4 linked regions of the Anolis sagrei genome follow. The protein of the gene in region 4 interacts with the protein of the main gene of each other region in a pairwise test. Links are inferred from orthologs where the notes say so. Each region holds a gene or a part of one and is shown on either strand. Other genes may lie near its edges. The genes, in order: PRKAA2, DEF6, SNRPB2 and HOMEZ.

Evidence for each region.
Region 1: the proteins of HOMEZ (region 4) and PRKAA2 interact in binary tests that used the Homo sapiens proteins (3 or more experiments, as listed by UniProt). The two-hybrid records come from large-scale screens. The link is inferred for Anolis sagrei from reciprocal best matches to the Homo sapiens genes HOMEZ and PRKAA2.
Region 2: the proteins of HOMEZ (region 4) and DEF6 interact in binary tests that used the Homo sapiens proteins (3 or more experiments, as listed by UniProt). The two-hybrid records come from large-scale screens. The link is inferred for Anolis sagrei from reciprocal best matches to the Homo sapiens genes HOMEZ and DEF6.
Region 3: the proteins of HOMEZ (region 4) and SNRPB2 interact in binary tests that used the Homo sapiens proteins (3 or more experiments, as listed by UniProt). The two-hybrid records come from large-scale screens. The link is inferred for Anolis sagrei from reciprocal best matches to the Homo sapiens genes HOMEZ and SNRPB2.

The regions. Positions count from the first base shown.
Region 1 is NC_090024.1:170,779,675-170,786,980, forward strand, and holds the start of PRKAA2 (5'-AMP-activated protein kinase catalytic subunit alpha-2), read right to left. Parts: upstream 3,023-7,306; 5' UTR 2,895-3,022; coding exon 2,789-2,894; intron 1-2,788. UniProt on the Homo sapiens protein: Catalytic subunit of AMP-activated protein kinase (AMPK), an energy sensor protein kinase that plays a key role in regulating cellular energy metabolism.
Region 2 is NC_090024.1:189,813,718-189,821,473, reverse strand, and holds the start of DEF6 (differentially expressed in FDCP 6 homolog), read right to left. Parts: upstream 3,005-7,756; 5' UTR 2,930-3,004; coding exon 2,834-2,929; intron 1-2,833.
Region 3 is NC_090021.1:157,445,706-157,452,652, forward strand, and holds the start of SNRPB2 (U2 small nuclear ribonucleoprotein B''), read right to left. Parts: upstream 3,003-6,947; 5' UTR 2,905-3,002; intron 1,024-2,904; 5' UTR 1,012-1,023; coding exon 948-1,011; intron 1-947. UniProt on the Homo sapiens protein: Involved in pre-mRNA splicing as component of the spliceosome. Associated with sn-RNP U2, where it contributes to the binding of stem loop IV of U2 snRNA.
Region 4 is NC_090026.1:9,112,862-9,120,131, reverse strand, and holds the start of HOMEZ (homeobox and leucine zipper protein Homez), read right to left. Parts: upstream 3,017-7,270; 5' UTR 2,847-3,016; intron 2,661-2,846; exon of another isoform or gene 2,477-2,660; intron 1-2,476. Other genes in the region: twisted gastrulation protein homolog 1-B-like, read right to left, coding at 6,700-6,920, 7,008-7,223. UniProt on the Homo sapiens protein: May function as a transcriptional regulator.

The sequences.
Region 1 (7,306 bases), on a different chromosome or scaffold from region 4:
TAGGTTGGCAGGAGCTGGGCTAACAGCAAGAGCTCATGCCGCTTCAAGGATTCGAATCTGTGACCTTTCGATCAGCAAGTTCGGCAGCTCAGTGGTTTAAACCACCATGCTACTGGGGGCTCCAATATGTGGTAATCCTATATGTAGAAAGCAGTAGACGAATGCTTGCATTTTGGATTGTTTTTGTTGTTGTTATTATTATTATTATTCACCCAACTTTCCCTCAAGGCAAGGGACAATACACTTAAAATATATAGATAACAAGATCATTAAAACATTTATAAAATAGACTCTCAACTAACTAGCAAAAGAAATCAAAGAAATTACATAGAATTCACAAAACTGTTTTTACAATACAATAAAACTGTGATAAATTAAGCTTCTCTTTATCTTTCCTAAATGACTTTCCATTGCTGTATTTCAATATTAATATTGTCAATACAGAGTTTATGATATGATATGGTACAGAATAGCGTAGAATATGAGGCCTATTTTTACTAGTAACTCTCAAGCAACCAGAAACCACATTTATTTGACATTTATACTGTTTTTTATTGATGGCATTGAATTGTTGCGAACACTGTGAACTACTCTAAGTGCTCTTCGGGGTTGAGAAGGGTGGTATACAAATACTGCAAATAAATAAATAAATACATCTACCAATCCCTGTGGGTGCCAGTTAACTGAGATTCTAGGAGCTCCCAGTGGCACAATGGGTAAAACTCTTGTGTTGGCAAAACTGCTGACTGAAAAGTCGGCGGTTCAAATCTGAGGAGCAGGGTGAGCTTCCATCTGTCAGCTCCAGCTTCTCATGCTGGGACATGAGAGAAGGCTGCCACAGGATAGTAAAACATCCAAGTGTCCCCTTGGAAATGTCCTTGCAGATGACCAATTCGCTCACACCAGAAGCAACTTGCAGTTTCTCAAGTTGCTCCTGACACAAAAAAACCTCTCAAAGTCTACAGTATTATGTATATACTTGTTGGCATTGCATATTTGCCTTTTATGTTGTCAGACGCTCTGAGTCCCATGTTGGGAGGTGGGCGGGATATCAAGTTTTATTATTATTATATTACATAGCAGAGGTGAGATTAAAAACACGTTAAGATCATTTGTACCAAGTGTTTGCCTTTGACAATGAGGCAGGTCCACCAACGACTCCACCTTTGCTTTGAGAAATACCCCCAGACCTTCAACCCCAGTGCTCTTGCAGTTTTGGACTCTCAGTTCCCAGAAGCCTCCGCTGTCAGGGCCAATGAGCAGGGATTCTGGTAGCTGGAGTTCAAAACACCTGGGAGACCAGCGTTTGGGAGACAAGGTTCCAGACCAGAGCAGGATTTCTCCCTCTCCCTCTACATATATACTCTGTGTGTGTACAGAGAGAGTGTATATAGTGTGTGTGTATATGTATGTGTATATATACACACATATACATCTCTCTGTGTGTGTACCAGTAATGAGTAAACTTTGCCCCTCCAGGTGTTTTGGACTCCAACTCCCACAATTCCTAACAGCTTACCAGTATGCATTCATACTGTGTGTATGTATATACCAGGCATGCACAAACTTGCGTCCTCCAGGTGTTTTGGACTTCAATTCCCACAATTTCTAATGTATTTGTACGTGTATGTGTGTGTATACACATACACTTACATGTGTGCATGCATACTGCATGTATGCCGGCTGTTAGGAAAACACCTGGAGGGCCAAAGTTTGACCATTCCTGGTATATATACACACACACATGAATGCATGCATACTGTGTGTGTGTGTGTGTGTGTGTGTGTGTATATATATATATATATATATATATATATACCAGGCCTGGGAAAAATTGGGCCCTCCAGGTATTTTGGACCTCATCTCCCACAATTCCTAATGCATCTGTATGTGTATCTATGTGTATACACACACATACACTTACATGGGTGCATGCATATTGCTCACTTCGGCAGCACATATACTAAAATTGGGATGATACAGAGAAGATTAGCATATTGTGTGTATGCCGGCTGTTAGGAATTCTGGGGGCTGAAGTCCAAAACACCTGGAGGGCTGAAGTTTGCCCATTTCTGGTGTATATATATATATATATATACACACACAAGCATGCATTATTGGCCCTCCTGGTGTTTTGGACTTCAACTCCCACAATTCCTAATCTATGTGTGTGTGTATGCATGCATACTGTGTGTATGCTGGCTGTTAGGAATTGTGGGAGCTGAAGTCCAAAACACCTGGAGGGCCGAAGTTTGCCCATGCCTGGTATGCATGTATATGTGTGTGTGTGTGTGTGTGTGTGTGTGTACATACACACGCACACACAAGCATGCATGCTTGGGCCCTCCTGGTGTTTTGGACTTCACTCCCACAATCCTAATGTGTGTGTGTGTATGCATGCATACTGTGTGTATGTCGGCTGTCAGGAATTGTAGGAGCTGAAGTCCCAAACACCTGGAGGGCGAAGTCTGGGATATAGTCTAAAGATGCTTTTGGATAACGGGGAGAGGTAAACAGGGATGTCCCCAATGAGCTGATATCTTGACCAAGGTTGGGGTGGGTTCCTCCTTGCTGCCATGGGGAGGGGGGAGGGGGGCATTTGGGAGACCCCGAGGGAGGGCTTTAAAAGACTGGCCCCAAAGAAGGGGCGTCCTAGAGGCGCAAGAGCAGCGCTCATGGGGCTCCTGCCTGGATGGGAAGCGCTGGGAGGGCGCTCTCAGGACCGGACCCCTTCCCTTCCTCCCTCCCTCCCTCCTTCTCCGCGGCGCCCCCCTGGGAGATACTCAGCTCTTGACTTTGCCGAAGGTGCCGACGCCCAGCGTGTCCCCCAAAACGTAGTGCCCGATCTTGACGCGCCCGTCGTGCTTCTGCGGCGGCGGAGGCTTCTCTGCCATCTTCGCTGCTCCTGCCGCTTCTGCTGCTGCTGCTGCTGCTCTTGGCAGCTTTGCCTCCGCCGACACCGGCCGGGCCGGACCACAATGCAGCAGGGCCGGCGGCAAAGGCGGCGGGGAGGGATGGGGAGGGCGGCGGGGAAAGGAGGAGGCAGCAGGCGAGGAGAGGCAGCAGCAACAGCCAAGGCAGCAGCAGAGCCCAGAGGTGGGGAAGGGAAGGGGAGGGAGAGAGGTGGGCAGGTACGCAGGAGAAGAGGCGGGAAGGCATTTCTTCTCCCTGGGGATGGCTAAAACATGTCTCTCTCTGTGTGTGTTTTCTCTCATTTATTCATATATTTTTTCTAATTACACTATGCAACACGACTTTTTTTGGTCCTGGTTTATCAATGTCATTTCCTAATTGGTTCAGTCATAAAATATGTGGAAAGTTGTCTTGGCTGGAATCACTGTGTTGTTTTGTCTTGGCTGGAATCACTGGGTTGCTGTGAGTTTTGGGGCTATATGGCCATGTTCCAGAAGCATTCTCTCCTGACGTTTCACTCACATCTATGGCAGGCATCCTCAGAGGTTGTGAGGTCTGTTGGAAACGAGGCAAGTGGGGTTTATATATCAGTAGAATAATCTCTAGGGTGGGAGAAAGAGCTTTTCATAGAATCAAAGAATCAAAGAGTTGGAAGAGACCTCATGGGCCATCCACAGTCCAACCCCCTGCCAAGAAGCAGGAATATTGCATTCAAATCACCCCTGACAGATGGCCATCCAGCCTCTGTTTAAAAGCTTCCAAAGAAGGAGCCTCCACCACACTCCAGGGCAGAAAGTTCCAATGCTGAACGGCTCTCACAGTCAGGAAGTTTTCTCTGCTTGAGGCAAGTGTAGATGTTGCCATTGGCCGCCTTAATTAGCATTGAACGGCCTTGCAGCTTCAAAGCATGGCTAGGGGGAATCCTTTGTTTGGAGGTGTTAAAGGTAAAGATGTATTGTCAAAGGCTTTCACAGCTGGAATCACTGGGTTGTTGTAGGTTTTTTTCAGGCTATATGGCCATGTTCTAGAGGCATTCTCTCCTGATGTTCTAGAGAATGCCTCTAGAACATGGCCATATAGCCTGAAAAAACCTACAACAACCCAGTAAAGGTAAAGGCTTCCCCTTGACATTAAGTCTACTTGTGACTGATTCTGGGGGCTAGTGCTCATCTCCATTTCTAAGCCAAAGAGCCGCCATTGTCCATAGACATCTCCTAGGTCGTGTGGCCAGCATGACTGCATGGAGCGCCCTTACCTTCCTGCCAAATCAATTGATCTACTCACATTTGCATGTTTTTGAACTGCTAGGTTGGCAGAAGCTGGGACTAACAACAGGAGCTCACCCTGTCCTGTGGATTCAAACTGCCAACCAGCTTAGCTGTTTAACTCACTGCACCCTAATCAGGACAGTAAATAAAGAACAACACTCAGAAAACAGGGGAATTCCAGATAAGAAACAACCAGGGCCAGCTAACTCATCCCAACAAATTTTCCCCGGGCAGCAACCAGCCAGGCTTTGAAGTTGCAAGGCCATTCAATGCAAATCAAGTTGGGCAGTTGCAACATTCACACTTGCCTCAAGTAGACAAGACTTCTTTCTTCTACCCTGGACATGCCACAGATATATAAACTGCACTTGCCTAGTTTCCAACAGACCTCACAAATTTCTGAGGATGCCTGCCATAGATGTGGGATGAAACATCAGGAGAAAATGCTTCTGGAACATGGCCATACAGCCTGGAAAACTCACAGCAACCCAGTTTATTACATTGCAAAAACTGTGTTTTTTGCAGGACACCCTGCAGCACATTTTGCTAGAGTTTTGCAATGAATGTCTCATCAGGTCTCAACCAATTCAACATAGTTTGTGGAAGCCACAAAAATGAAGATCCTGGACTACAACAACTACTTTCAAAGTAAGTACCACACAATTAAACAGGAAATAACACTTTCAAACCAGGAACAGATTTTTATTTTTCAAATATTGTTACATAGTGTTATTAGAAGCAGTCATAGTTTTTGGATTTTATGAATAGTCTCATTAGGAAATGCATAAGGATGGGGATAGATTACAAATCCCATCGTCATCTGTCATTGCCCCCAAATGGTGCCTGTAGTTAAAGTTGATCATGATGGGTAAGTGTTCCAAGTTTGATTGATTGCATTCATGGTGCTCCCTGGACATGGGTGGACTGCAATTCCCATCATTTCTGTCATTGGCCAACCCCACCAGTACTTAAAGATGGGGATGTGTGCCATGTTTGGTACAGATCCATCATTGGTGGAGTTCAGCATCCTCTTTGACTGAGTGAACAACAACTCCCAGCATCCAAGGTCAACCCCCCACCCCTACCAGTACTTAAAGCTGGTCATGATGCTTATTTATGCTAAGTTTTGTCCAGTCTTAGAATCACAGGTGTACTTTATGTATTTTTGTAGGTGATACTGGAATAAGGATGCATCTTACAATTGATGGTGTCTCACAATTGAAGAAATATGGTATATAGAAAAAAATACAGCTAAAATCAACAGCAACAAAGAAATTTACAATGACTTCCAACATTCCTTATGATTATAAGTGAAATAACTGTATATAAAATCCTACTCTCCAGCAAAGGATCACCGCCTTGTCGGGGCGCTGGAGCTTGAGCACCTCAATGATGTCATGAGCAAAACCGTGAAGGGCCACCCAAGACGGGACGGTTGTGGCAGAGAGGTCAGACCAAGCATGATCCCTGGGGAAGGCAATGGCAAACCACTCCAGTATCCTTGCCAAGAAAACTAAATGGACCAGTACAACCAGAGATATGTCGGTATGCCATTGGAAGATGGGACTCCCAGGTCGGAAGATGGCCAAAATGCTACTGGGGAGGAGCAGAGGATAAGTTCAACTAGCCCCAGATGTGATGACGCAGCTAGCTCAAAGCCGAAAGGAAGGCTAGCTGCCGACGGTACTGGAGGTGAACGACGAATCCGATGCTCTAAAGATCAACACACCATAGGAACCTGGAATGTAAGATCTATGAGCCAGGGCAAATTGGATGTTGTTATTGGTGAGATGTCAAGACTAAAGATAGACATTCTGGGGGTCAGCGAACTGAAATGGACTGGAATGGGCCACTTCACATCAGAGGACCACCAGATCTACTACTGCGGAGAAGAGGAACATAGAAGAAATGGAGTAGCCTTCATAATTAATAAGAAATTCGCTAAAGCAGTGCTTGGATACAACCCAAAAAATGACAGAATGATCTCAATTCGAGTGCAAGGAAAGCCTTTACACATTACAGTGATCCAAATATACGCCCCAACCACAGCTGCTGAAGAAGCAGAAGTAGATCAGTTCTATGAGGATCTGCAGGACCTACTGGATAATACACCAAAAAGAGACATTATTTTCATTACGGGAGACTGGAATGCCAAGGTGGGAAGTCAAGTGACAACTGGGATCACAGGCAAGCATGGTCTGGGAGAACAAAATGAAGCGGGACGCAGGCTGATAGAATTTTGCCAGGAAAACTCGCTGTGTATAACGAATACTCTCTTCCAACAACCTAAAAGACGGCTTTACACATGGACCTCACCAGATGGTCAACACCGAAATCAGATTGACTACATCCTTTGCAGCCAAAGGTGGTGGACATCCATCCAGTCGGTGAAAACAAGACCTGGGGCTGACTGTAGCTCAGATCACGAACTTCTTATTGCACAATTTAGAATAAAACTAAAGAGATCAGGGAAAATACACAGACCAGTTAGATATGATCTCACTAACATTCCTAGCGAATATACAGTGGAAGTGAAGAACAGATTTGAAGGACTAGATTTAGTAAACAGAGTCCCAGAAGAACTATGGACAGAAGTCCGCGACATTGTTCAGGAGACGGCAACAAAGTACGTTCCAAAGAAAAAGAAAACCAAGAAGGCAAAATGGTTGTCTGCTGAGACACTGGAAGTAGCCCAAGAAAGGAGGAAAGCAAAAGGAAACAGGGATAAGAGGAGATATGCCCAGTTAAATGCGCAATTCCAGAGGTTAGCCAGAAGAGATAAGGAACTATTTTTAAATAAGCAATGCATGGAAGTGGAAGAAGACAACAGAATAGGAAGGACAAGAGACCTCTTCCAGAAAATTAGAAACATTGGAGGTAAATTTCAGGCAAAAATTGGTATGATAAGAAACAAAGATGGCAGGGACCTAACAGAAGCTGAAGAGATCAAGAGAAGGTGGCGAGACTATACAGAAGATCTGTATAGGAAGGATAATAATATTGAGGATAGTTTTGACGGTGTGGTGAATGAATTAGAACCAGACATCCTGAGGAGTGAGGTTGAATGGGCCTTAAGAAGCATTGCTAACAACAAGGCAGCAGGAGACGACAGGATCCCAGCTGAA
Region 2 (7,756 bases), on a different chromosome or scaffold from region 4:
GTGAACTACAACTCTCAAACTCAAGATCAATGCCAATGACCACCAAACCCTTCCAGTATTTTTTCTTGGTCATGGGAGTTCTGTGTGCCAAATTTGGTCCAGTTCCGTCATTGGTAGAGTTCAGAATGCTGTTTTATTGTAGGTGAACTATAAATTCCCAGCAACTACAACTCCCAGATAACAAAATCAATCCCCCCAACCCCCACCAGTATTCAAATTTGGATGTATCGGGTATTTGTGCCAAATTTGGTCCAGTGAATAAAAATAAATCCTGCATATCAGATATTTACATTACGATTCATAACAGTAGCAAAATGACAGTTATGAAGTAGCAACGAAAATAATTTTATGGTTGGAGGTCACCATAACATGAGGAACTGTATTAAGGGGTCGCGGTATTAGGAAGGTTGAGAAACACTGCTCTAGAGTGATATTACTCCAAACCTGGGACATTATAATTCAATTGGGGAGGAAAAGGAAATCTATCACAACTCTTAATACAGGACAAAAAGGAAAAATAACAGAAGTAATTAAACAGTATATTTATATCAGGAAAAGCACGCTTAATACACTGGGGTGTAAGAAGGTCCTTCCAAGAAGATCTTCCAAAACCCAAGAACTATGTCAATGTGGGAGTTCTCCGAAGAGTTGGCTGTGCCAAACAGCTGCCCAATTTCTGCATTCATTCCACACTGGAAATGAGCACAGGATATGGATGACGGCCCAGAGAAACCAAAGAGACATCTTGCATCCTCTGAGTCAATCTACACTAGGCATGGGCAAACTTGGGCCCTCTGGGTGTTTGGACTCCAAGTCTCAGCATTCCTAACAGCCGCTTAAGCGGCTGAGGGGGGAAAGGAAGGGGCCTGAGGCTGTTAGGAATGTTGGGACTTGGAGTCCAAAACACTCAGAGGGCCCAAGTTTGCCCATGCATGATCTACACTATCCAATTAATGCAGTTTGATGCCTCTTTAACTGCGATGGAATCCTGGGATTTGTACTTTGGTGAGGCCCCACCATACTTTGGATCTTGCAAAAATACAGCTCTAATGATTCCATAGCATTGACTCACAGGCCATTAAAGTGGTGCCAAACTGTATTAACTCATCAGTGTGGATGTATTTGTGGTGTCGAACTGTATTGATTCGTCAGTGTGGGTGCACTCTCCATGAGACACTGAAGGAAGACAGCCTCTGACATTATCTCTTGCGTGTATCAGCTTGTGTTGATTGATTTCCCCGAGGTGTCGCTCACTATTTACATCAGGCACGAACCAGTGTTTTCTGCCCTACTTTCCTAGCACACCCTGGCATCTTATCTCCCTCCCCAAGTTCTGCAATTAAGCACTAAACTCCCATTCATGCCACTACTTGTATTAGTATTTAGTATGAAAAAGCGGGAGCTGGGAAAGCTTTCTTTCCTCCTCCTTTCACAAAAGAAAACATGGAAAATAGTCACATTAAGGATCTCATCACACTGGAACATGTGGTTCTCCACCTGTGGGTCTCCAGATGTTTTGGCCTTCAACTCTAACAGCTGGTGGCAGGGCCGTAGCCAGAAAAAAACTTCGGGGAGGGTTGACAATTTCGGGGGGGGGGTTGAAAATTTTGGGGAGGGTTGAAAATTTGGGGGGGGGGGGTTGAAACTTGCCTCCTAGCTCACGCTGAAGCAAAGAGCACAGCAGGGGAAAGAGCAGCCTTCAATAGCCTGCAACTCCACCCCTGTCAACCACCTCCACCAAGTCTGGCCTCCTTAATGAGAGCATTCAACACACACACACCCAACTTGGTTGCTTCACTACATCGGCTATTGCTGCAAGTAATGACAGTGTGAATAAATTGTCAATATTTGTTTGAGATAGTGCTTACAGTTCTGGAGGGACTCTTAATTTTTTGCATCTCATAGACTTAGCATGGAGATTTGGTTAACCAGTTAAAATTCATGAGTAAACTAGGTTTTTTAAAAAAATCTGAAACATTTCGGGTGGGGTTTGAACCCCTAAAACCACCCCCTCGCTACAGGCCTGGCTGGTGGTGCCGTGGGTTAAATTGCTGAGCTTGTTGACCGAAAGGTAGTAGGTTTGAATCCGGGGAGCGGTGTGAGCTTCCACTGTCAGCCTCAGCTTCTGCCAACCTGGCAGTTAAAAAACATGCAAATGTGAGTAGATCAATAGGTACTGCTCCAGCAGGAAGGTAACAGCGCTCCATGCAGTCATGCCAACCGCATGACCTTGGAGATGTCTATGGACAACGCCAGCTCTTCAGCTTAGAAATGGAGATGAGCACCACACCCCAGAGTCAGACAGGACTGGAGTTAATGTCAGGGGAAAACCTTTACCTTTAGGCTAAAAACACCTGGGAACCCACAGGTTGAGAACCACTGCACTAGAGAATGAATCCACTTTAAATCCGGTTTCTGCCTCCTGCAGAATTCTGGGGTTTGTAACTTACCGTGGCTGTTAAAGGCCCCTCCCTAAACTGCAAACCCCAGAATTCTGCAGGAGGCAGAAACCGGATTTAAAGTGGATTCATTCTGTAGTGTGATGAGGTCCTAATAAGACACTGCTCACTTTCAAAGGCTGGGGATGTGGAAAGGATCAGGGAGAGGTTGAGAAGCAGTTGAGCATCTCTTGTCTGGAATGAATGCAGTTTGGCACCACTTTTAACTGCCATGGCTGAATGCTATTCAACCCTAGAGTTTTTCAGCTTGATCTCTTTGGCAGAGAAGGCTAAAGACCTTGCAAAACTACACCTCCAATGATTCCAGAGCATTGAGTTGAAAGTAGGGGTCCAACTGCATCCCAGCTGCAGGTGTGTCCCCTCTCCAAACTTACTTTGAGCTGCGACTTTGAGACTTTGCCGCTCTTCTCGGTGTCCAAGGCGGTGAAGGCGTACCAGATGGACTTCAGGAGCTCGGCTCGCAGCTCCATGATGCCGGGAAAGAGAGAGAAACAGTCGCTGACAACCCCGTCACCGCCGCTCAAGCTCCGCAGCCAGGCGCCTCCTCCTCCGCCCTTCCCTCCTTCGCTCGCAGGAAGCGCGCCGCAGCCCTCCGCGGGAAACCGCTTGTGCCACAGCGCCATCTGCTGGTCGCAAACGCAACAGCACCTTCCCCTGCTGACCTAGCAATGCTTCTGGGTACATCTATACCAAGCAGGGGCAAACTTGGGCCTTCCAGGTGTTTTGGACTTCAACTCCCAGCATTCCTTCCATTTCTCCTTAGCTACGTAAGCTTGGCTAGTCCACGTAAGTCCAAAACACCTGGAGGGCCCAAGTTTGCCTCTGCCATCAACTCCACATTGTCCGGATGCCCAACCACTGTCTCCCAAAGCAGTTGCTCAACTCCGAACTCAAGAACGGAAAATAGAATGTTGGAGGGCAGGAAAAGAGATTTAAAGACAGGCTCAAAGCCAACCTTAACTCTGGCATAGATACTGAGAACTGGGAAGCCCTGGCCCTTGAGGTCAGCTGTGACCAGTAATGCTGTAGAATTTGAAGAGGCACGAATAGAGGGCGAAAGAGAGAAACATGCCAAGAGGAAGGCGCATCAAGCCAACCCCAACCAGGACCGCCTTACACCTGGAAACTAATGCCCTCACTGTGGGAGAAGATGCAGATCAAGAATAAGGCTCCACAGTCACCTACGGACCCACCACACACTGCACACAGACCCTGGAGCAGTGGTTCTCAACCTGTGGGTTCCCAGATGTTTTGGCCTTCAACTCCCATAAATCCTAACAGCTGGTAAACTGGCTGGGATTCTGGGAGTTGTAGGCCAAACACCTGGGGACCCACAGGTTGAGAACCACTGCCCTGAAGGATCATCCTACTCGCACAATGAGGGATCACCTAAGAAATTAAGTAAGCCCATGCCTCATCTACACTACTTATCTACACTGCCCAAAGGATATGGATGACGGCCCAGAGAAACCAAAGAAACATCTTGCATCCTCTGAGTCCATCTACACCAGGCATGGGCCAACTTGGGCCCTCCAGGTGTTTTGGACTTCAACTCCCACACTTGCCTGCCAGCAATAAGTTCTTTACACTAGTAAAAGCTTTCTGCTTTATACACCAGTGGAATCAATAAATAATAACAGAAACAGAAATGAGGAAATCATGAAAATGAACAAAATCTGGCATTTACAGTGTAGATGCTACCAGTATTAAAAAAAAAACTCTCAAAGCAGGACAGTAAATAAAGCAGGGGAAATCAAGACAATAATCAATCACGGCCAGCGAACACCTCCCAACAAAGGATTCCCTCAGGCAGGAAGCAGCCAGGCTTTGAAGCTGCAAGGCCATTAAATGCTAATCAAGATGGCCATTTGCAACACTCACATTTATCTCAAGCAGACAAGATTTCTATCTTCCACCCTGGATATTCCACAAATAGATAAACCTCACTTGCCTAATTTCCAACAGACCTCACAACCTCTGAGGATGCCTGCCATAGACGTGGGCAAAATGTCAGGAGAGAATGCTTCTGGAACATGGCAGTACAGCCCAGAAAACTCACAGCAACCCAATAACAGGAACGTTGTGTAGTGTAAGCATCCTGGAAATGTCTCCAACAGCAATTTGTGCATGGACAGAATATGTTGTATGTAGATCGAGGTGTCTCTAGAAAGGTTATAGAAGCATTAAGAATTTCTAGGAATTTGGAAAGTAAGTGTACCTTTAATACATAAATTGATATGAACCTTCAATTCCATCAAATATAACTCAGAGGGGGGAGCCCACTCAACTGTGTAACCTGAAGGCGTTTTTGTTTTGTTTTTACTTTTCTGAAATGTTTACATTAGAGGCTGTCCTCAACTTCATATGGCTTTGGGTTTAAATACATATTGCAAATATTTCCCTCCCCCCAAAATGTGACGTTCCAGCCTGCAAATCCAAGCTGTCTAGGTTACAGGTGTTTTCTTAACCAACTCTAGCACTTTGCCTCTAACAATAAAACAGCATTTCTAAATTAAATATGTAGCTTTATCCAGTAATTTGTCTCCTTAACAATATTTTTCCAGCCCTTTGTCCCAAGCTGCATTGCTGCTTTAAAGGGGAACTGGTTTATGAGGATATTGATCTGGCAAAATAAACATGTTTTGTCTCTTGAAAAGACTCAGGATCAGGGCCATCTTTTTTTTCTCCCCTTTCAAATCATAGCAATCTATTTTTGGCCACAGGACAGGAAATCTTTAGCCACTTCCCTTCCCCTCCAGGGAAAGAAAGAGAAAGAACTGCAGGAGGTGTGAAGTGTAAGAGAATTAGATTTCAGACTCATTGCTCTGCTTATGAAGAGTTTGATCTACACTGTAGAATTAATGTAGTTTGGCACCACTTCAATTGCCATGGCTCAGTGACATGGTAGTTTTGCAATGTCTTAAGCCTTCCCTGAGAAATAGTCTGGTGCATCACAAAAAGTACAATTCTCATTGTTCCATACATCGAGCTATATCATATCTACGTTTATAGTGTAGATCAGGCACTGGCAAACTTGGCCCCTCCGGGTGTTTTGGACTCCGTCCCAGCATTCCTAACAGCCTCAGGCCCTTTCCTTTTTCCCCCTCAGCCGCTTAAGTGGCTGAGGGGGAAAAGGAAAGGGCCTGAGGCTGTTAGGAATGCTGGGAGTTGAAGTCCAAAACACCTGGAGGGCCCAAGTTTGCCAGTGCCTGGTGTAAATGCACCTTCTGAAAATCAGCAAAATGTTTGACTAGGGATATGAAGGGGAGGTCAGAAAGTACAAATAGGTTCAATAGATAACTTGAACCAATCTTTACTAAAGAATAAAACCTCGTTCTGAAATGTCATTTGTCAAAAGGATCTATCATAGACACACAATATTTTCTCTAAAATCAAGTTTTCACATATTTTGGGTTTATAGACTTTCTAAGATTGTTTCCCGGGGGTGAGGTGTTCAGACCAAAAGTGAGACTGGGACGCTGTATTTTACAAGTGACTACCAGAAATGCTTAAAAAGGCAGAATGTCATGGGGTGGATAGGTTTTATTTTGTTCTGAAGCAACTACGTTACACATGAGAAAACTCAATAAACACAACTGTAAGAATGCATGGTAACAATGTTAAATAATATATATACACAAAAAGGGTGGTCTATAGATAAAGATATGTGAGTCATAAATATTTTTGGCCCTTTTCCGGCAACTGTGTTCAGAGACCTGTGCAAAACTAGAAGTTTCAAAGTGAAAATATAAGAGTATAAAACAATATACCGTGGGTTGTTGTGAGCTTTCCAGGCTGTATGGCCATGTTCTAGAAGCATTCTCTCCTGATGTTTCACCTGTATCTATGTGCATCCTCAGAGGTTGTGAAGTCTGTTGGAAACTAGGAAAATTGAGTTTATATATCTGTGGAATATCCAGGGTAGGAGAAAGAATCTTGTCTGTTGGAGGTAGGTGTAAATGTTTCAATTGGCCACAGACAATTCTGATTTGAAATTAGCAATTATGTTTTCTACTGGGATTCTGGTGGTGATAACAGCAAAATTGCCTCCTTTTGCTAGTATGGATACTTGGTCTTCAGAGAGTTGTGGCTTCTGGAACATAATCATACAGCCCGAAAGCTCAGAATAACCCAGTGATTCCAGCCATGAAAGCCTTCAACAATACATCGATATACCATGGGTTGCACTGAAAACTAATGTGCAAAATAAACTCTGAAGTATTACTTTCAGATTGATCAGCAAGCTGTTTCAGAAGTGTTCTCCCTAGTTGAGCTGAGCTCTTTCTCAAAACATAAGATATGCTCTTAGATGGCAGAAGTCAACATAGTCTATATAAATAGTGGGCTAAAGGCAGATCAGTGTCTATCAAGAGCTCTACTGGCAGAAATAACCATAAAAATACATTTTCCACCTGGTGAAATGGAAAAAAAGAAAGCTTGGGTTGGACTTTTGTCAACCCAACTATCAGTTGAGTTCAATTCTGGAATGAAAAGCAAATTGATAAGTTCAAGATATTCTCATATTCACCCTACACAGTATTTTCTGTAGGTTATGGGGGTTCTGTGTCAGAATTTTGGCCTAATTCTATCGTTGGTGGGGTTCAGAATGCTCTTTGATTGTAGGTGAACTATAAATCCCAGCAACTCCAACTCACAAATGTCAAGGTCTATTTCCCCAAACCCCACCAATGTTCACATCTGGGCATATTGAGTATTTGTGCCAAGTTTGGTCGAGATCCATCATTGTCTGAGTCCAAAGTGCTCTCTGGATGTAAGTGAACTACAACTCCCAAACTCAAGGTCAATGCCCATCAAACCCAGTATTTTCTGTCAGTTGTGGGAATTCTGTGTGTCCAGTTTTATTCAATTCTATCATTAGTGGAGTTAAGGATGCTCTTTGATAGTAGGTGAACTATAAATCCCAGCAACTACAACTCCCAAATGACAAAAATCAATCCTCCTCCCAACCCCACCAGTATTCAAATGTGGGCGTATTGGATATTTCTGCCAAATTTGGTCCAGTGAATGAAAATACATCCTGTACATCAGATATTTACATTACGATTCATAACAGTAGCAAAATGACAGTTATGAAATAGCAATGAAAATAATTTTATGGTTGGGGATCACCACAACATGGGGAACTGTATTAAGGGGTTGTGGCATTAGGAAGATTGGGAAACACTGGCCTACCGAATCATAAGGGTTTTTGTTATAACAAAAAAAAAACTGCCAGGAAACCAGAAGCTCTGTCTATACAAGTTCTCTATGAACTGCAAGGCATAAATCACTTCAGC
Region 3 (6,947 bases), on a different chromosome or scaffold from region 4:
GCCACCACCGAGAAGGTCCTCTCCCTCGTCCCCACCAATTGCGCCTGTGAAGGAGGTGGGAGAGCGAGCAGGGCCTCTCCAGATTATCAAAGAGATCGTGTGGGTTCGTACACAGAAATGCGGTCAGTTACTGTATTGCAGGTTTTGTGTACTCATACTGCAAATAAGGTAATGGAAGGCTGTTGCAGTACACTATCCTACACCATTATTAGGACACTGGGCTATAAAACTAGTGTCAAAAAGCTTTCTCTTCTCTCCACTTTCATTTTCTTTAGCACCTTTTAGATTGCAAACTGAAGGACTATGCTGTAGCCATATAAAATTCACTACACATAGATGACTCTGTCCTAAACAGTGGGCTAAAAGTGCTTCAAGTACAACATTAAATGCATGCTTCTACCACATTGTTATTGTAATTTTCCAAGAAAATATACAAACACTGCTTACAATAATAATTAAATTAACTTGTGTCACATAGACTGCTTTCCATTTTCACCAAAATGTAAAACTAGTATGACCTTGATATCTACTGGAGAAATGATACCTGACACTGTGGGCAATAGTAAACCCTATATTTTGATTGCACGTTTGCTGGATTTACACTGGAGGACCTAGAAAGGCCTACAAATAAATTTGGAGTATGGGTAATTGAAACTATAGATATCAAATTTGTGGATAATACTGTATAAATAGTTTTCAGTGCAGTCTTAAATATATGTCTTCACAAGAAAATCCTGCTGTGTCCAGGTAAAAGTGGAAAGAACTGCAGCCAAAAGGACAACAGCTAATTGTCAATATATTAAACAATTCACTCCAATAACAACCAAAACAGTTAAAGACAAAGCCTACTAGAGAGTGAAAATTATAAGCTGGAACACACACACACACATATCTTGACCCTAGGCACCAGAACATGGTAGAATAAAAGATCTGAGCTATTTTCTTACCTTCTTTTTTAATTTTGTCATTAACATTATTGATGTAAAGCGTGTGATTTGGTCGAATATCCATCTTCTAACTTCCCTAGGAAACAAGATAGCTTATTTAGCCTTTTCTCCAAGGAACTCACTTTTTTGTTTTGCATTTTTCAGGCAATTCTAATCAACCCAAGCTGATCCTACTTATGGTGTTTTTCTTGTCAAGATTTGTGTAAGTTTGCGGCAGCTTTCCTATTGGTTCTCACTTCCAAAGACAACTGTGAGCCCCACCAATGACGGAACTGGAGCAAACTTGGCACACTGAAATCCCATGACCCACTTAAGTTCTGGTGGGGTTTCTTGGGGGAAGAACTCTGGATGATGGGAGTTGCAGTACTGTCCCGCACATCATGAGATTACTGCAAACCTCTTTAGCCATAGATCTGGACCAAACCTGGCACACAGACACCCCATGACCCACTTTGAGTCCTGGTGGGGGTTTTTTTTTGGGGGGGGGGGGAGGTAGGAACCTGGATGATGAGAGTCGCAGTACCTTCACCCGCATCCAGAGACAACTGTGAACCCATCAACCATGAATCTGGACCAAAGTTGGAACAGATACCCCATGGCCCACTTTAGGTCCTAGTGGGGTTTGGGGGGGGGGGGGGTAGGAACCTGGATGATGTGGGATTTGCAGTACTTTGACCCACATCCAGAGACGACTGTGAACTCCATTAACCATGGATCAGGACCAAATTTAGCACATAGATGTCCCATGACCCACTTTAAATCCTGATGGGGTTTGGGGGTATAGGAACCTGGATTATGGGAGATGCAGTACCTTCACCCACTACTGCCAACCCCATCCAGAGGACAGGAGCAGGATTCAAAACGATCTTGACAGATTGGAGAGATGGGCCAAAACTAACAAAATGAAGTTCAACAGGGACAAATACATGATACTCCACTTTGGCAGGAAAAACGAAATGCAAAGATACAAAATGGGGGACAATGCCTGGCTCGAGAGCAGTACGTGTGAAAAAGATCTTGGAATCCTCGTGGACAACAAGTTAAACATGAGCCAACAATGTGATGTGGCGGCAAAAAAAAGCCAATGGGATTTTGGCCTGCATCAATAGGAGCATAGTGTCTAGATCTAGGGAAGTCATGCTCCCCCTCTATTCCACTTTGGTTAGACCACACCTGGAATATCGTGTCCAATTCTGGGCACCACAATTCAAGAGACATATTGACAAGCTGGAATGTGTCCAGAGGAGGGCGACTAAAATGATCAAGGGTCTGGAGAACAAGCCCTATGAGGAGCGGCTTAAGGAGCTGGGCATGTTTAGCCTGAAGAAGAGAAGGCTGAGAGGAGACATGATAGCCATGTATAAATATGTGAGAGGAAGCCACAGGGAGGAGGGAGCAACTTGTTTTCCGCTGCCCTGGAGACTAGGACACGAAACAATGGCTTCAAACTACAAGAGAGGGGATTCCATCTGAACATGAGGAAGAACTTCCTGACTGTGGGAGCCGTTCAGCAGTGGAACTCTCTGCCCGGGAGTGTGGTGGAGGCTCCTTCTTTGGAAGCTTTTAAGCAGAGGCTGGATGGCCATCTGTCAGGGGTGATTTGAATGCAATATTCCTGCTTCTTGGCAGGGGGTTGGACTGCATGGCCCATGAGGTCTCTTCCAACTCTTTGATTCTATCTGCAAGAATTTCTAACGGGTGCATTCACAAAATCCAAAAACAAGCCATGCCTTTTTTGAAAGCTAGTAGACCAGGCACGGGCAAACTTCGGCCCTCCTGATGTTTTGGACTTCAACTCCCACAATTCCTAACAGCCGGTTAGGAACTGTGGGAGTTGGGAGTTCAAAACACCTGGAAGGGCAAAGGTAGTCTATGTTGACCCAAAAAAAACCCATCTTTTGACAAAACAAATCCGAAGGATCACAATGGCAAGGCTGAACCATCCAGGACCGCCTACCTGAGCGGAGAGAAGGGACTGCGGGCTGGAGAACGAAGAGGGAAGCACGAGAGAGACGACTTCACGAGCACCGCCTTTCCGCTTCCGGGCGCAGAAGCTACTTCCGGCTCTCCATGAAGGGGCGGGGCTTTCTCACTTTAGAGCTGCCAGCATCATCGTGGCCTCATAGGGTGAGGGGAACCTTGTAGAGTCATAGTAACCTTTATAAAGAGACAGGGAGTAGGGAAAGGAAACGTTTAGTGTTGTTCTAGGAGAGCAAGGGGAGAAGGAGGAGAGAAAAACCTGGCCCTCTTGTCTTCACCTGCCTCAGGAGTATAGAGGCCTATCAAACTTATCACTAGGTTCATACAACCACTGGGCAAGAACTCTCATTCCCCCCAAAACTGGTTGGCCACATGGAATGCTGCAAAGGATCATAGAATCCTAGAGTTGGAAGAGACCTCATGGGCCATCTAGTCCAACCCCTGCCAAGAAGCAGGAATATTGCATTCAAAGCACCCCTGACAGATGGCCATTCAGCCTCTCTTTAAAAGCTTCCAAAGAAGGAGCCTCCACCACACTCCGGGGCAGAGAGTTCCACTGCTGAACGGCTCTCACAGTCAGGAAGTTCTTCCTCGTGTTCAGATGGAATCTCCTCTCTTGTAGTTCGAAGCCATTGTTCCGCGTCCTGGTCTCCAAGGAAGCAGAAAACAAGCTTGCTCCCTCCTCCCTGTGGCTTCCTCTCACATATGTATACATGGCTATCATATCTTCTCTCAGCCTTCTCTTCTTCAGGCTAAACATGCCCAGCTCCTTAAGCCGCTCCTCATTGGGCTTGTTCTCCAGACCCTTGGTTATCTTAGTCGCCCTCCTCTGGACACATTCCAACTTGTCAATATCTCTCTTGAATTGTGGTGCCCAGAACTGGACACAATATTCCAGGTGTGGTCTAACCAAAGCGGAATAGAGGGGTAGTGTTACTTCCCTAGATCTAGACACTATGCTCCTATTGATGCAGGACAAAATCCCATTGGTCTTTTTTTGCCGCCACATCACATTGTTGGCTCATGTTTAACTTGTTGTCCATGAGGACTCCAAGATCTTTTTTACACACGTACTGCTCTCGAGCCAGGCATTGTCCCCCATTCTGTATCTTTGCATTTCGTTTTTCCTGCCAAAGTGGAGTATATTGCATTTGTCACTGTTGAACTTCATTTTGTTAGTTTTAGCCCATCTCTCTAATCTGTCAAGATCGTTTTGAATTCTGCTCCTGTCCTCTGGAGTATTGGCTATCCCTCCCAATTTGGTGTCATCTGCAAACTTGATGATCATGCCTTCTAGCCCTTCATCTAAGTCATTAATAAAGATGTTGAACAGGACCGGGCCCAGGACCGAACCCTGCGGCACTCCGCTCGTCACTTCTTTCCAGGATGAAGAGGAAGCATTGGTGAGCACCCTCTGGGTTTGTCCATTTAACCAATTACTGAAAGAAGACATGAGCCAGGATAAAACAACCCAAAATCAGGTTTCTTTTATGTATAATGTCTGCTTGCTAAAGAGGTATGATAACATAATAATAATAATAATAATAATAATAATACTTTATTTATACCCCGCCACCATCTCCCCAAGGGACTCGGAGCTGCTTACATGAGGCCAGGCCCAACAACCCATCAATAAGAACAAGAAGCAATAAACAAAAACAATAAATACAATACAATTAATATAAATCACATATAAACAATAACCAATAAACAGTAACACAACAAGGATTAAAAAACCTATGGCTGGGCCAATGTAATAGTTTAAAAATTAAAAAATAAACGCTGGGCACGAACAAGGTAGGATATATCTGGTATAGGGTTTTAAAAGAGAGATGAGGGAGCGCAGTCAATCCTAAACCAATTGTAAAGTGCATTCTGAGGGCATATTGCTGAGAATTTTCCTTATTCTGGGAAGGCATACTGGAACAGCCACATTTTCAGGCTCCTCCTAAAGACTGCCAGAGTTGGGACATGCCTGATGTCCTTGGGAAGTGAGTTCCAGAGTTAGGGGGCTGATGCGGAGCATCTCCCCCCCCCCCAAGTATTTGTAGTTCGCCAAGGGCCAGACAATGGATTCTGTTGCTTCCTGACCCAGCACACATAACTGGGTTCCTGTTTCCTCTCTGTGAATTCTCTGGCTTGTGCACTGGACCCTGGCCCCTGATCAGGGAAATGTAGTTTTCTAAAGGACATTGCCCCACTCTCCACCATTTGTGAATTCCTTGCGGACCTCTTTGCCCTCACTGATTGACTTGATGCCCTATCGTCATGAACTTCCTCCACGGACTCTGAACCAGGCCTCTTGGAGAGAATAGTCTCCGCCTGTGCGTGCGCCCTTGCCAAGAAGATCATACTTCAAACAGAGATGAATTGCTTTTATCAATTGTTATTACCTCTAATAAACTTTGCTGGGTTGGGATGGGGATCTCTTTATGAAATTTATGAAACTTATGAAGATTTATGAAGAATGTATATGATATGTATAATATGAAATCTATGAGATGTACCCTTGCCCTTTTCCCTACTTTTCTCCTCTGAACTTTACCCTACTAAGAAAGGATGTGACCTGAGGCTACAGCGGAGGAAATCCAATTTCCTCAAAATAACCCCATTCATATTGACATTTTGCATGGATCAGGGTTGACAATTATCTCAAGGTTTGTTTTCAGAGTCAGACAAACAAGCCAGAGATGGGTCAACCGAAACCCGGAAAACGGACTGATTAAATCAATCATGGTATTTGTGTAAGCTCCTTTGTGATTAAGGGTCCCCTTGTCTACAGAGTTTTGAGATCCAAATGCCACCAATAGCCCCTTTTCATGTCTATACACATCTGCAATCAGAAATCAGGAAATCCTTTGTTTCTCCCGTCTGCCACCCTGCCGTGTAAGAACAAAGGCTCTCAATCAGCTGGCGGACGCCTCCCAGGCGTTCCGCCCCCTCTGAGCTGTCAAACCACGTCCCGCCTCCTGGCCGCTGATTGGACCATCTTCGGAGGCGCTCTAAGGGCTCTGATTGGCCCCCTAGAGGCGACAGCGCCCGGCGATTGGAGGGGAGGCGGGACAAGCGGCCAAGCCTCCTCCCAGCTGTTCCAGAGCCAGCCAATCAGGGCGGAGAGAGCTGACAGAAGGCGGGCGGGAGTTTCAAACCAGGTTTTCTTTGTTTTACTTGTATAAATATGCCTGGAAATCACTGTACTGTATGCTTATGGTGGAATTATCCCTGTAACGCATCCTTTTCAGCTGAATCGCAGAAATAAACGCTTCGGTCGCTGGATACCTCTTCAGCCTCTGGTGGGATTAATTCTTAATATTTTGCGCTTTGGATTGGCTTTTGCTGGCAGCTCACCAAGGTCAGAGACCCCCTTTGCGGTCTTCTGGGGCCTTCCTCGCTGGGAAAGCCCCCCAAAAAGAGCTCGATATCAGGGCCACCACTGAGAAGGCCCTCGTCCCCATCAATCGCGCCTGCGAAGGAGGCAGGAGCGCGAGCAGGGCCTCTCCTGATGATCGAAGAGATTGTGTGGGTTCGTACACAGAAATGCGGTCATGCAGGTAAGCGGGTCCCAAACCGTTCAGGTAAGAACCTGTACCTTGTATTGGGACCAGAAAATGAACGGCAGCCAATGGAGCTCCTTAAACAGGCGGGTTGACCGCTCCCTGTAAGTGACACCAGTTAGTAACCAGGCTGCCGCCCATTGTACCAATTGAAATTTCCGGGCCATTTTCAAGGGCAGCCCCACATATTGTGCACATCTGAGTGTGGACTCGGATAACCCAGTTCAAAGCAGATATTGGTGGGATTTTCTGCCTAGATATTCTGGGATATAGGACTGTGTGGAAGGGCCCTTCTACACAACCATATAAAATCCAGATTATCTGCTTTGAACTTCAATGCCCTTCCACCCAGCCCTATATCCCAGAATATCAAGCCAGGAAATCCCACATCTGAATGTGGACTCGGATAACCCAGTTCAAAGCAGATAATGTGGGATATTCTGCCTTGATATTCTGAGATATAGGT
Region 4 (7,270 bases):
TAAATGCGAGGGTTGAATGAAAAGTAATGCCTCCACCTTCTTTACTTGGGTTTGGATGGGAATATTTTAGGAAACCAAACGCAGAAATAATCCTTAGAATGTGCTCTTTAACTACCACTATTCACTTTTCCACATAATTGCCAGATAATTGGATACAAACAGGGATGTGTTATTGCCCCAACCTTATTTTCCATCTTCATCGCTATGACACTTCATCTAGTTGATGGGAAGCTTCCCACCAGAGTGGAAATGATCTGCGGACAGAAGGCAAGCTATTTAACCTCAGCAGACTCAAAGACAAAACCAAGGTTACAACATCTATTATAGAACTCCAATATGCTGATGACAACGTCATCTGTGCGCATTCAGAAGAAGACCTACAAGCCACTCTAAACACCTTCGCAGAAGCATATGAGAAGCTCAGCCTATCATTAAACATCGAGAAAACCAAATGCTCTTCGAGCAGTCACCAGCCAATCCCTCTTCAATGCCAGAAGTACAGCTTAATAGTTTAACATTAGAAAATGTTGACCATTTCTGCTACTTTGGCAACCACCTCTCCATAAAAGTCAACATTGACACTGAAATACAACACTGCCCTGAGCTCTGCAAGTGCAGCATTTTTCTGAATGAAGCAGTGTTTGAGGACCGGGACATCCATAGGGATACCAAGGTGCTTGTTTATAAAGCTATTGTCCTCCCCACCCTGCTATACTCCTGCGAGACGTGGACTCTCTGCAGATGTCACATGCAACTGCTGGAACGATTCCATCAGCGCTGCCTCAGGAAAATCCTGCAAATCTCTTGGGAAGACAGGCGGACAAATGTCAGTGTGCTGGAAGAAGCAAAGACCACCAGCCTTGAAGCGATGCTCCTCCGCCATCTACTTTGCTGGACCAGCCACGTTGTCCGAATGCCTGATCACAGACTCCCAAAGCAGTTACTCTACTCCTATGGCAGTCACACTGTACTTGCAAACGCTTGCTCCAAAAGCCAAGTTATGACTTTCCTCCAGAATGTTAAAATGGAGGGAGCTGATCTAATATCCCTAGGGAGGGCGTTCCATAGACAAGGGGCCAACACTGAGAAGGTCCTGTCTCTCATCCCCGCCAGTCGTGCTTGTGATGAGGGTGGGATCGAGAGCAGGGGCTCCCCAGACGATCTTAAAGCCCTGGAAGGTTCATAAAGGGAGATGCATTTGGACAGATAAGTTGGGCCAGAACTCTCTGAGTGATATGATGATCATCCTAAATCAATCTGTCAACCTTTTGCTTGTGAAACTCGGTGGTTGCTGTCAGAGGACGTCCAGCTTTTGTTTGTTGCACAAATCAGATTGTTCCCACCTCAACATCTTTAAACTTACTTGCCCAACGACACACAGTACTCACATCAACACAATCAACATAAACAGCTTGCATTCTCTGATGAATCTCCTTTGGGGTGACACCTTGTGCTGTGAAGAATTCACTGCCTCTGAGGATGGCTGGCATAGAGGTTCCAGAAGCATTCTCTCCTGAAGTTTCTCCCCCATCTATGGCAGGCATCCTCTGAGGTTGTGAGGTGTCTTGTCTTCTTCAAACAAAGAAGAGTTCTTTCTCCCACCCTGGACATTCCACAGATATATAAACTCCATTTTCCTACTTTCCAACAGACCTCACTACCTCTGAGGATGCTTGCCATAGATGTTCCAGAAGTATTCTCTCCTGAAGTTTCTCCCCCATCTATGGCAGGCATCCTCAGAAATTGTGAGGTCTGTTGGAAGCTAGGCAAGTGGGGTTTATATATCTGTGGAATGTCCAGGGTGGGAGAAAGAACTCTTGTCTGTTTGAAAAAGGCAAGGGATCTCACAACCTCTGAGGATGCCTGCCATAGATGCAGATGAAATGTCAGGAGAAAATGCTTCTGGAACATGACCATACTGCCCGGGAAACTCACCACAACCCAGAGATTCCGGCCACAAACGCCTCTGACAATACAAAATCCCACACTTCCTCCCATGCCATCCAACCTGCCTGCTGTCCCCCATGCTTCCAAGGAATTGCCCCAATTTCTCAGATCCTCCCTTTTAGCAAAAGATGAAAAGGAACAGGAAAACACATTAAGGATCACCATCAGAGCATCCTTTTCTTCCTGTTATATTGTCACAGGGCCCTTCCTCAAGCCCTATATCTCAGGGCCCTTCCACAAAGTCATATAACCCAGAATATCAAGGCAGGAAATCCCACAATATCTGCTTTGAACTGGGTTATTTGAGTCCACACTGCCATATATTTCAGTTCAAAGCATAAAATGTGGGATTTCATTCAGCTGGGTGGAAGGGCCCCCAGAGTCCGCACTCAGATAATGTGGGATTTCCTGCCTTGATATTCTGGGGGGCCTTCCACCCAGCTGAATAGGGCTGTGTGGAAGGACCCCCAGCAAAGACAGGACAGGTTTGGGAAGAGGAAGCAAATGGCTATTCTTTGGAGCCACTTACCTTCTCTTCCCCCAACTCGGAAAGAAAGATGGGAAAGAAGAGCATGCTGTCACTATGGAGAGATCAAAAGGCAAAGAAAGAAGAGAGCGGAGGGAAGAAGAAAGGATGTGGGGAGCAAGGCAGGAGAGGAAAGAAAAGTGGGAACTTGGAATGACAGAAGGAGACAATGACAGAAAGAGAAGAAGCAGACAAAAGGAAGGAAGGAAAGAAGGAAGGAAGGGCAGACAAAAGGAACAGGGAGGAAAAGAGGAGAGAATGGCAGCAAAAAGGGGGAGAGGGAGGCCAGAAAGGAAGGAGAGGCGAAGGGGGCTTCAAGGGCCTCATGAGGGGGAGAGGCCGGGGCCATGGAGGGGAAAGGGGGCTCACCCACCCGGGAGGGACCGGCGAGCATCACAGAGGACGGGCAGGGCGGCAGAGCCATCCAGGGGCCTGGCAGGGGCTGCAAGAGGCGGGGCGGTGGTCCACTCCGCTCTTGAAAGGCAGGAAGAAAGGCAAAATCCAGCTGCTTAGGTGAACCAACTATGTTTTGGAATAACAAAGCAACACAACAAAGGGGAGCCCGAGCTCAAACCACACCCCTTTACCTTCAACCCCAACCTCCCCACCCCCTCCTTGCCATGCAGAGGGCTGGCTTGCCAGACTTCACTCTGCACGTGCTCAGAGGCATGCTTTCCCTTCATTGTTGCTTCAACCGTTCTGGAACATTTAGGGCGGAAAGCTGCTCCTGACCAGGTGAAAGGCAACTGGGATTTTGTCTTTGATACCTCAGTTAATAAAGCCTGTTCAGGTCTTCTTGGCCTTCTACTTCTCTTTCTCATCCTCAGTGGTTCTCAATTTGGGGTCCCCAGATGTTTTTGGCCTACACCGGGATTGTGGCGCAGCTGGCTGAGTGTCAACTGCATTAAGATCACTTTGACCAAAAAGTCATGAGTTCGAAGCCAGCCCGGGTTGGAGTGGGTTTCCAACCAATTGTGTAGCCTGTTGTCGACTTTTGCAACCCGAAAGACAGTTGCGTCTGTCAAGTAGCAAAATTAGGTACCACCTTGTGTGGGGAGGCTAAATTAACTAATTTATGAGGCCATAAAAAAAGACTCCAGCAAAGCATTCCAGTGGGGAAGCATGCGGGGAATGCGGAAGTGCTTCATCAGCGTCGCAGATGGACGATGAAAGTGACAGCTCCCCTGGTGTCCAGAAAAAGTTAAATAGCCTCTGTCTATGTCTGTATATGTTTGTATGTCAAAAATTGGCATTGAATGTTTGCCATATATGTGTACACTGTAATCCGCCCTGAGTCCCCTGCGGGGTGAGAAGGGCAGAATATAAAAGCTGTAAAAAATAAATAAATAAATACAACTCATAGAAGTCCCATCCAGTTTACCAGCTGTTAGGATTTCTGGGAGTTGAAGGCCAAAAACATCTGGGGACCCCGGGTTGAGAACCACTGGCAGGTTTAGCCGCAGCTCCTTGGTAAGGCTGGAGAAACAGAGTTTAGCAAGGCTGGGAAAAGGGACTTGTAATTGTGTTGTCTTCGTGCTTCCAAAGCAGCATGCGTTTGAATGGGGAAACAACCCTACACTGGTTTGCTGTGAGTTTTCCAGGCTGTGTGGTCATGTTCCAGAAGCATTTTCTCCTGACTAGGCAAGTAGGGTTTATGTATTTGTGTAATGTCCAATGTGCTGTCGCATGCTGGGCCTGTGCATAAGACTGTAGACAGGACATAAATTCTGTGTGCCCAATGGGACTCCAGGGCTGCCTCAGATTAAAGGCCCTTGGATTTCCTTAAAACAGAGTCTTTAGATTGTTTAAAGGTTCAACAATGTTCTTTATTGATGAAAACAAACAGGTACTTTAAGGCTTTCTTAACAGTCTATTGGCTCTCTCTCAATCTTGTCCACAGGGAACAGGCACTATCTTCATAACTGTAACTAATGGGGAAATCCTTAACTTCTAACCTGGGCAGTCTGTCTTTGCCTCTATTGGCATGGAGCCCCTGCACCTGGTACCAACTGTTTCTGGCTTCCGCGAGTGACCCTTACCAAGCAGAGCTTTGTAGACTTCCAAGGGAAAAGGAGTTCAGGTTTCGGTGATGGCTGGCTGAAGTCCTTCATCTAAGTCATAAGTAAAGATGTTGAACAGGACTGGGCCCAGGACGGAACCCTGCGGCACTCCACTTGTCACTTCTTTCCAGGATGAAGAGGAAGCATTGGTGAGCACCCTCTTCAGAAAGACTTCACCCCACAGCCTGAGGAATAGAGCTCCCAAAATCTATTTCTCACCAGTTCAGCCCTCCTGCTACATATGGTGGCCTATCAAGGTTTCAAACATGCATTCTACTTGCTTACCTGAGATTAAAGATACAGCTGTTATCCAACACCTTAGGAAGCCCACATTCTGTGGTTAACCAGGTGCCAGAAGCTAGTCTCAGAAACCTTTGCCTATTGTATATTTTCAGGTAGACATGTAGTACTTCAAGAATACTATTTTCTCTCATCAATCCTTCCCCTCCAGCAGCTTTCGAAATCAGGTCCTTGAGATATTTTTGATTTTAGCGAATATGAGCAGTGCTCAGAAATATTAGGACTTGAAGTTCCAAACATCTGAAGGATAGCAGTTTGAGAACCAATACTTTAGGTTCTTGTGGGTTTTTTCGGGCTATAGGGCCATATTCTAGAGGCATTTCTCCTGACGTTTCGCCTGCATCTATGGCAAGCATCCTCAAAGGTAGTGAAGTCTGTTGGAAATAGGACAATGGGTTTATATATCTGTGGAATGGCTGGGGTGGGGCAAAGAGCTCTTCTCTGCTAGAGGTAGGTGTGAATGTTTCAGCTGACCATCTTCATTAGCATTTGAAGGCCTGCCTGAGCCTGGGAAAACCTTTTGTTGAGAGGTGTTAAGATGTGCCTGGTTGTTTCCTCTCTGCTGTTTTGCTGTTGTGATTTTAGAGTTTTTTAATACTGGTAGCCAGATTTTGTTCATTTTCATGGTCTCTTCCTTTCTGTTGAAATTGTCCACATGCTTGTGGATTTCAATGGCTTCTCTGTGTAGTCTGACATGGTGGTTGTTGGTGTGGTCCAGCATTTCTGTATTCTCAAATAATATGCTGTGTCCAGGCTGGTTCATCAGGTGCTCTGCTATGGCTGACTTCTCTGGTTGAAGTAGTCTGCAGTGCCTTTCATGTTCCTTGATTCGTGTTTGGGCAATGCTGCGTTTGGTGGTCCCTATGTAAACTTGTCCACAGCTGCATGGTACACGGTAGACTCCTGCAGAGGTGAGAGGATCCCTCTTGTACTTTGCTGAACGTAGCATTTGTTGGATTTTCTTGGTGTGTCTGTAAATAGTTTGTATGTTGTGTTTCCTCATCAGCTTCCCTATGCGGTCAGTGGTTCCCTTGATATATGGCAAGAACACTTTTCCTCTGGGTGGATCTTCATCTTTATTCTCGTGGCTTGTTCTTGGTCTTGCAGCTCTTCTGATGTCTGAAGTGGAGTCTCCATTGGCCTGGAGAGCCCAGTTTAGGTGGTTCAGTTCATCTTGGAGGAGGTGGGGTTCGCAGATTCTTTTTGCACGGTCTGCCAAGGCTTTAATGGTGCTTCTTTTTTGACTTGGGTGATGGTTGGAGTTTTTATGTAGGTATCTATCTGTATGTGTGGGTTTTCTGTAGACAGTGTGACCCAATTGTTGATCTGGTTTGCGGATGACTAGGACATCTAGAAAAGGCAGTCTTCCTTCATTTTCTTTTTCCATACTGAATTGGATGTTTGGGTGGATGCTGTTAAGATGGTCCAGGAACCTGTTGAGTTCTTCTTCTCCATGGCTCCAAATTTGGTACGATGAATGAAAATACATCCTGCCTATCAGATGTAACGGCGCTCCATGCAGTCATGCCGGCCACATGACCTTGGAGGTGTCTACGAACAACGCTGGCTCTTCGGCCTAGAAATGGAGATGAGCACCACCCCCCAGAGTTGGACACGACTGGACTTAATGTCAGGGGAAAACCTTTACCTTTATTAGATGTTTACATGATGATTCATAACAGCAGCAAAATTATAGTTATGAAGTAGCATCAAAAATAATGTTATGAAAAATGTATTGGACTGGTCTTGCTCACAACGCTCAGAATAGGAAGAAAGGGAAGGTGGGAGAGAGAGGTAGGCAGGTAAATAAGTTGGTTGAGGGCCCCACACATGTGTACATGTACATGTAAAGAGAAAAGCTGAGAGTTAATCCCGGCAGTTGGAACAAATGGCTTGGGCCCCGCCATAGCCCCGGCAGTCAGGCCCTACACACTGGCAGCAGGCATTGTGGAACCAGCGGTAGCGCCAGGCTCCCACTGATTGGCAAGCTGTCCGGCATCGGCTCATGGACAGGCACTCGTTGAAGAAAATGGACTGGCAAGGTGGTGTGGTGGCATTGAGGCCTTCAGCATCTGGGAGAACCAAGCCTGCAAGTGAGAAGAGGAAAGTTCATGGCTGTGTATCCTTCATTATTGCGACATCAATGCTTTCTCCTCTGGGCCAGGTACACTTACCTGTGTGTGGCCCCAGCAAGAGATGGTCTGTCTCTACGTGGTTCTGCCTCAGCTCCTCCTCAACTGGCAAAGTCAAGATGCTCCAGCCCATGGGAGACTCGTTGTCAGAGATGGCTGTGAGTGCCCGGAAAAGAGAGGGCACGGGAGACATCAGGTTGTGCATAGAGCTTCGCTGGGCCGGACGAGGGGCGGAGAGAGGACGTTCATCGCAGAGCCCTCGGGAGGAAAAAGTCAAGTCAGAATCCTTCCTTGGTAAGCTCTAG